Oryzias latipes: one gene and its partner. The protein of the gene in region 1 binds, or shares a complex with, the protein of each later gene. Links are inferred from orthologs where the notes say so. Each region holds a gene or a part of one and is shown on either strand. Other genes may lie near its edges. The genes, in order: wdr59 and sec13.

The links.
Region 2: the proteins of wdr59 (region 1) and sec13 are in contact, whole or in part, in a cryo-EM structure (PDB 7UHY), measured with the Homo sapiens proteins. The link is inferred for Oryzias latipes from reciprocal best matches to the Homo sapiens genes WDR59 and SEC13. Residues at the interface, in NP_085058.3 of Homo sapiens: Ala525, Tyr526, Gly527, Asp531, Ala532, Asn533, Ile534, Pro535, Phe536, Pro537, Arg538, Thr539, Ser540, Gly541, Ala542, Arg543, Phe544, Cys545, Gly546, Ala547, Tyr549, Val551, Phe553, Thr554, Arg555, Met557, Ala644, Gly645, Lys646, Val647; in NP_899195.1 of Homo sapiens: Val4, Ile5, Asn6, Thr7, Val8, Asp9, Thr10, His12, Asp14, Met15, Ile16, His17, Asp18, Ala19, Gln20, Met21, Asp22, Tyr23, Tyr24, Gly25, Leu28, Val42, Pro59, Trp61, Gln62, His67, Pro68, Tyr79, Ser105, Asn107.

What each region holds. Positions count from the first base shown.
Region 1 is NC_019861.2:37,911,644-37,914,750, reverse strand, and holds the end of wdr59 (GATOR complex protein WDR59), read left to right. Parts: intron 1-874; coding exon 875-956; intron 957-1,039; coding exon 1,040-1,160; intron 1,161-1,231; coding exon 1,232-1,374; intron 1,375-1,451; coding exon 1,452-1,687; 3' UTR 1,688-2,310; downstream 2,311-3,107. Other genes in the region: gpatch1 (G patch domain-containing protein 1), read right to left, coding at 2,505-2,538, 2,715-2,824, 2,888-2,997. UniProt on the Homo sapiens protein: As a component of the GATOR2 complex, functions as an activator of the amino acid-sensing branch of the mTORC1 signaling pathway. The GATOR2 complex indirectly activates mTORC1 through the inhibition of the GATOR1 subcomplex.
Region 2 is NC_019863.2:32,815,894-32,820,348, reverse strand, and holds the start of sec13 (protein SEC13 homolog), read left to right. Parts: upstream 1-1,562; 5' UTR 1,563-1,709; coding exon 1,710-1,712; intron 1,713-1,914; coding exon 1,915-1,959; intron 1,960-3,265; coding exon 3,266-3,381; intron 3,382-3,596; coding exon 3,597-3,748; intron 3,749-4,244; coding exon 4,245-4,378; intron 4,379-4,455. Other genes in the region: cullin-associated NEDD8-dissociated protein 1-like, read right to left, coding at 755-822. UniProt on the Homo sapiens protein: Functions as a component of the nuclear pore complex (NPC) and the COPII coat. At the endoplasmic reticulum, SEC13 is involved in the biogenesis of COPII-coated vesicles.

The DNA of each region.
Region 1 (3,107 bases):
GTTGTGATTTTGGGCCATACAAATAAAATTGAATTGAATTGAACTTTTCTAGAGGATCTCACCTGGACTAGGGATGGGTATCGTTAAACACAAAAATAACAAACATCCACTTCCATTCATAATTTCTTTTATGACTCCTCACCTGAGTCACAAAAAATAAAAATACAAATATACACTAACAAATACATTGTGGATATTTTGAAGACGTCTTAAATAAAATGGCTAAATGTCCAATAGTTAACAAAATAAAGAATGTTCAGGGAGTTTATCTGAGGAGAAGAGAGCAGCATTTCCACGCTCTGCTTTTAGGAGGCGGATCTGCAGTTCTATCTTTGGTAGCGTTCCTGTGTGCGCGCTGCGTGCTGTCTGAACAACAGCCCCGCCCCCCGTGCACACAAATAACCAGACAGACCTCTCCTCTTCAGCCAGAATAGCAAAATTAATATCATCATTCATTAATGGAAAATTGACTGACTTGGTGAGTTAAATATGGCAGATAACCTCCTGGGACACAAACAAATGCGACTTCTCCAGAACCGATACCAGAACCGTTGAGGTCAGATCTTAGTGCTACTGCGGTATTGAAGAATGTTGCCTGGGGGCTCCTTCAGTACCGGGGCTCGTTCAGTACCGGGGCTCGTTCAGTACCGGGGCTCGTTCAGTACCGGGGCTCCTTCAGTACCGGGGCTCCTTCAGTACCGGGGCTCGTTCAGTACCGGGGCTCCTTCAGTACCGGGGCTCCTTCAGTACCGGGGCTCCTTCAGTACCGGGGCGCGGTACCCATCCCTAACCTCGGTTACGTTTGAGGAGACCACAGCAGCAGCTGAATTTCATCGTCACAGGAAGTGATGTCACATGCCTGTTTCTGCTTCAGTCCAGCTTCACGTCCAGCTCCGTCACATCCGGCTCCTGCTCCAGCACCTCCGACTCCATCAACGCCAGCACCTGGACCGCAGGTGACGCCGCCGCTCCCCTCGCCGGCCGTCCCGTTGGACGTGGTGCTTTGCTCTTAAATTGACGGTTTCTTCTGGTTTTTCAGTCCGAGATCCCGATCACATCAGCCCCTGGGGGGAGCCCTCGCCGGACGACTATCGCTACGGCGGCCAGGCCTACACGGACCCCCGGGAACGCGAGCGAGACCAGCACGACATGAACAAGAGGTGACGTGGCGCTCCGCCCTGAGGGGACCGGCCTTGAAACACCCCTGACCTGCTCGTTCCGTGTGTCGCAGGCTGCTGGACCCCGCCAACATGCCACAGTTTGACGACTTCAAGAAATGTTACGGGGAGATCCTGTACCGCTGGGGCCTCCGGGACAAGAGAGCCGACGTCCTGAAGTTTGCCTCCTGTCCGCCAGAACCCCACAAAGGCATCGGTATGTTTCCTGTCCCGCCGCTTCCCAGCCGCCCCGCTGAATGTGGAAGTAACCCAGAACCCCTCCTGCCCCCTCAGAGTTCGGCGTTTACTGCTGCCACTGCCGCAGCCAGGCGCGCGGGACTCAGTGCGCCGTCTGCAAGCACCTCACCTTCCAGTGCGCCGTCTGCCACGTGGCCGTCCGCGGATCCTCCAACTTCTGCCTGAGCTGCGGTCACGGAGGCCACACCAACCACATGATGGACTGGTTCCGCAGGCAGGACGAGTGTCCGGCCGGCTGCGGCTGCCACTGCCTGCTGCAGAGCACCTTCTGAGAGCAGCCGCAGCCGGGGACCTTGCAGGACCTGGACGGTTCCAGGAGAACCCATCCTCTCACAGGACCGTGACTAGTAGACCCAACACGGGTGGAGGAGAGACGGCTGAAGGTTTCCGGCGTTCACCACCTGTGGATCTTCTCAGTGTTGGTGTGTCGTCTCCGGGTACGGGCTCGGGTTCCCAGCGGGCTCAGATGGACCAGGAAGTCCTCAGGGGGTTCCTCTGTAGCAGAGCTGTCTCGGGCACAGCTTGACCCACATCCAGAGTCTCCAAACGGCACAAATGTGTCCAGAACCACAGAACCTTCGGGGCGTTTGATCCCGTTTTCTCCTTTGACTTCATGAAAGACATTTTTATGTCAGGTCTTCACTCCACAGCAGATCCAGACTTCAGCTTCCATATTGTGGTAAAAACCAAACGACAAGCCTTTTTTCTTTTTTTTTTACTGTAACCATGGCAACTGTGGGGTCACACGCTGCCCTCAGGAGCTTTGGGACAAACCAGTGTTTCTGAAAATGAGAACATGGATGTTCTTCATCTCATTGTTATCGGGTGAAATGAAGGAAATATTGGAAAACTTTGATTTGGACGAATAAAAGCCTGTTTGGATTTTCTCTTCTCAGGCAGAAGCAGATGATTGACAGCTCAGCTTTAGCTCAGATGCAGAGAACAGGAAGTGATGCAGAGAACAGGAAGTGATGCAGAGAACAGGAAGTGATGCAGAGAACAGGAAGTGATGCAGAAGGCTTTTATTGGAGGCTTTGTACGCTGGGATGTTCTGGCTGTGGTCCTCACGGAGGACATGGTTCTGCTGGATCAGCGGCTCTGCTGGGACCGGATGTTCTTCAGTCTGGAAGGAGAAGACAGATCTGTTTGTTGGGAGAACCCGACAGAACCTCTGTGGTTCTGGGTCAGACGTGCCCGGATCGTGGTGAGTCTTCAGTTTGAGGTTCTGAGTCGTTTTTAGGAAAATCTAACAAAAGTTTGGTTGTGAAGAGACGGCTGCTCCTCCAGATGACCTCTGACCTTTTCAGCAGCAGGTCCGGGGACACGTCTGGGTCGCTGTCGTCGGAGCTGCTCTCGGACTCCTTCCTGCTCTTCTTCTGCTTCCCTTTCTTCTTCTTCTGCTTCTTTTTCTGCGCAGAACCAAGGTCCGTTTCAAACCGGTTCCTGTCCTGCTGCTTTTCTTTCCATCTCACCTTCTTTTCCTTTTTGTGTTTGCTCTTCTTCGGCTTCTTCTCTTTGCTCCTCTTCCTCACGCGTTTGTCCTCCTGGCTGGGGGGGCAGACACCTGCGGTTCCTCCTGTGTCTGAACAGCAAACAACAAGGAGTTACCCCCTCCGTCTTCACTCTGTGCTCGTTCCCAATCCCAACGCCTGATGTTGCCATGGAAACCAAACAAACATTCACTTCCTGCTT
Region 2 (4,455 bases), on another chromosome or scaffold:
AAATAATATTAAAACACAGGACTAAGCTATCTCCTCACAAAGATCTTACTGTGTCGTTTTCTAGTTATTATACATAAACATGTTTGTTTGACGGGACATATTGTAGATGCTGTCATTTTTTAAGTTGAATTGTGACTTTGGTGCATAGATTTAGGCCATGATTAGTCTAACGTTTTATTCTAAAAATACTGTAGAAGTTGTCAACTTTTGGAGATGCCGCCTCTTGTTTTCATATTCTTTATTGAAGCTTCAGTTGTGATTTGATTTTAATAATTGAAATAGTTTGGATTCAAAAGCGTGACATAAACAAATCTTTACAAAGAAATCAACTAAAACAGTTTTAAAGGTTTCGTTCTGTACACAAACACCTGAGTTTAGGATTCGCTTCTTGTTGTACTTCTAAAGTTTGTGTTCAAGTTTCATGATGTGTGTGTAATGAAACTTTTACTTTCACTTCTTTGTCATTTGAATTTTGCACTTTTTAAATGTTAGTAAACTAAATACATCTGCATTTTCAGCAAAATGTAAAAAAAGAACCTTTTAATAACTGTCTTTTCTCCTCTGAGTCTCTGATCAGATTTTAAATTAAAATGTTCATTACTTTAACATTCACTGCTTTATATTCATTACTCAGAGTGTCTTAAACAAACGTTTTGACAAAAGAAATATCTACAATCGAATGACGAGTCAGAGTAAAAAGGGTCTCACTGTCAGAGCTGATGAGCAGCTGATGAGCAGCTGTCTCTTACTTTACCTGAAGTCTTTGTCAGTGGAGGTCATTTTCTCCAACAGGTTGGAGATGTGGTAGGACACGTTAGACATGATGGTTCTTTAACAGCTGACACGGACGCCGATAAATGCTAAATCTGTAGGAAAGCAATGGAACTGGGGAACCAGATTCACCCTGACAACATGGCGAGGCTGGTGGGCAGAAAGCGGAGCTAACCTTAAACCTGACACCCCCAGGGTCAGCTAAAAATACAGCACACTTATTCTGGTTTATGTCTCCCTCGTGTGGACAAACCGAGCATTACAGCCGAGTTCGTTTTGAAATCCTAAACCATGGACTGTAAAGAGAAGTTTTACAGTCTCTGTTTGCCATGAATTTGTTTGAATAACATACAAGGTTGTTTTGTAAATAGATTGTTTTCTGATTTATAACTTTATTTTTTAATTGGCTTTCATGTGTGTGAGTATTGTCCCAAATAAATTTAGATTGTTTAATGTGAAAATATACCTTTTGTTATTTTACAGGAAGATGTTTTGACTCTTCTTTCGTTGCATCAACTTTTTTTTTTTTTTTTTTTTTTTTTTTTTCCTCTTTCGGCTTTTCCCATCAGGGGTCGCCACAGCGAACAAGTCGCATGGTAAACTTGGCAATGTTTTACGCCGGATGCCCTTCCTGACGCAACCTTCTCAAAGCAACCGGGCTTGGGACCGGCACAGATAGACAGAGAGACAGATAGACAGAGAAGGGAACAGGGAGCAGCCCTGTCGTTGCATCAACAGGCTTTGTAAATGTAATTTTGCGTTGTTGTCGTGTAGGCGGAACTTACGTTTCGATTGCGTCACTTCCGCCGGAAGCAAGTCTCGGGCTCTGGAAGCGGTCTGCGGTACTTGTTGCCACGTCGGAGTAGTTTGTAAACCCGGTCGATTCATTGCTAAGCGACCAGAAAACTGTTGAAGGGTTTTTGGGTTAAACAGCAGCGATGGTTGGTTAAAATACTTTATAAAAATGGTTTTAGCATTTCTTAAAAACATCTTTAAAGTTTACGTTTGCCTGCTAAGACTCACAGTTAGCTAGCTCCCGTTAGCCGAAATACTAGCTGACGCGTTAGCACTGCAGATAAAAACAATGATGGTTATTTTTTTTATGAACAGGTCAAATAAAATTCTGCTGTTTCTAATCTATAGGTCTCCGTTATTAACACCGTGGACACCTCCCACGAGGACATGATTGTAAGTGTTTGACCTCCCACTATGCTATCCGTGGATGGATAATTACATTGAATTTGTTTAATATTGTTTCACACGTTTATCCGTTCTTACAATTAAACTTTTACTGTGGTTTGATTACTCTATTTTGGGGCTGTATCGTTATCGTTTGGAACTAATCATTAATATTGATTTATAATTACATTTATCCTTAGGTTTGTTTGTGGGGGAAACGTGTTTTTTCTGTCTGTCTTGTTGTTTTCTTGAAGTTCATCTTGTTCTTTGTGCTTTAATCTCTTTAGAAGAAATGACCCACTTTTATCAGAAAGGCTGGATTTTATTGTGATACTTGTTCCTGAATGATACCCTTAATGATTTTAGAGGGAAACGTTTGCCTAACACATGATCATAGAGACGGGCTTCATTTTAAACGAACATACAAGAAAGACAAACATGTTATCAACCTATCAGAGGTCACAGTGTTCTAAAAGTACGAACACATAACTTTTTGTTGACGAGTCCAGGGACATGCTGTAAAGGTTCATGTGTGTTGTTGTGTGTCTCTGTGATGCACGGGTGAAGTGTCCTGGGTGAACCCTGATGGGATAGGCTCCAGCAACCCTGTAATCCTGAGCGGGATGGATGAATTCCCTTCAACATCAAAATGTTTCATTCTTGATAGCATTGAGGCAGTTGTCTGTTGCATAAAAGCATCTAAATCAACCTCCAGCCCCTGATTTCACTGATGTGAGGATCCTCAATTAAAAATGATTTGTTCTAGTATTAAAAGCGCTGTGCTGTATACACTTAAACACTAGACACGCCTGGCAGTTGCATCCCATCTGCATTCATGCATCTGTAAATCTTCAGGTGAGTTGGATGGGAAGTGATGGCGTGTCTAAATACTCACACGTGTTGAAAAGTTCTCTTCATGTCTTTATTCTGGTTTTAGGAGTTAAATTCTCAGAAATCTTCCCTTTATCCAAATGTAACGACCTGCCTTTCTGCAGTGTTTCTTTCTACCTACTAGTACTAAAGACCTTTGACCTTCACACGCCGATGATGTCACCCTTTCAGCTGGAAGACCACCGCTCTCTAGGTGGTTTTTAAACAGCCTCTTCCTGATCCAGAGGTGCTGTAGATTCAAACGGCTGACATGAAAGGTTTAGATCCAGGAGTTCTGGATTTGTGCCTTCATTTAGTGCCAGTATAATGATTGACATAACCAGCATACGTGTTTCCCTTTCAATCTCAAAATGTCCATTTGAAACATCAGACACATAGAAATGGTTTCACTGGCTGTGAACACATACATGTTTCTGTGTTTCAGCATGACGCTCAGATGGATTATTACGGGACGCGACTCGCCACATGCTCCTCTGACCGCACTGTCAAGATCTTTGATGTCAGGAACGGAGGACAGATTCTAGTGGCAGACCTCCGAGGGTGAGTCATCCTCAGAAAAGTCTTAGTTATCCTCTGTTAAATGCAGTAAAGAACAGCAGGTGGGTGTTCTCCAAGAAGAATAACTTCTAGTTTAATGTTCTTTATGCTGGTATAATACACGCTGACAAATATCGTGAAACACAAACGGCTTTCATCGTGAAAAGTTCATTTCTACTCTGAACTCGCGTGTGAGAGATTTTGTGTTCTTCGTTCAGCCATGAAGGGCCCGTCTGGCAGGTGGCGTGGGCCCACCCCATGTTTGGGAACATCCTGGCCTCCTGCTCCTACGACCGGAAGGTCATCGTCTGGAAGGAGGAGAACGGAGCTTGGGACAAGATGTACGAGTACACGGGACACGAGTCCTCAGGTCAGTAAGGGAATGTTTCCCCTCATCCAGTGTTAGAACTCCAGCTCATTCCATTACAGCTACTCTGTAGGTGTTTATGGTAAATGCCATTTCTTATCCTATTCTCAGTGTTTGTAATTCCACACCAGAGTTAGATTGTGTTTGTTATCATTTTTACTGGTTGTTGTTTGTGTTGCTGTGGAACTTCAGCCGATCCGAAAGCAGGAGAGACGTTCTCCGTGCTTTTGACAGCGGAGACGCCGCCGGCGGCTCGTGCTCTTTGACGAAGCGTAAATCCTCGTCTGTTTCTGCGATCAGCAGGAATCAGCTGAACTGATCGCTTAAGGCCGCTATGCAACACTTCCTGCTTTTGTCTGCGACAGAATCGGCTGACCTCCGCTGATTATGCTGAAGAGCTAGTGGGTAGAATGTAAAAGAAGACCTTTGAAGAGTCACTGTGACCACGGTAAACGGCCGCGTCTTTGTGTTCATGGCGCTGCTGCTGTCGTGTTTGCAGTCAACTCTGTCTGCTGGGGTCCCTATGAGTTCGGCCTCATCCTGGCCTGCGGCAGCTCCGATGGAGCCATTTCCCTCCTCACCCTAACTGGAGATCAGCAGTGGGACGTGAAAAAGATCAGCAACGCACACACTGTGAGTCTGACCCACTACTGCTGGTCCACCGAGAAAGGCCGATTCTGCTCGGGTTGTCCTTTGTGTTTACGGGTCAG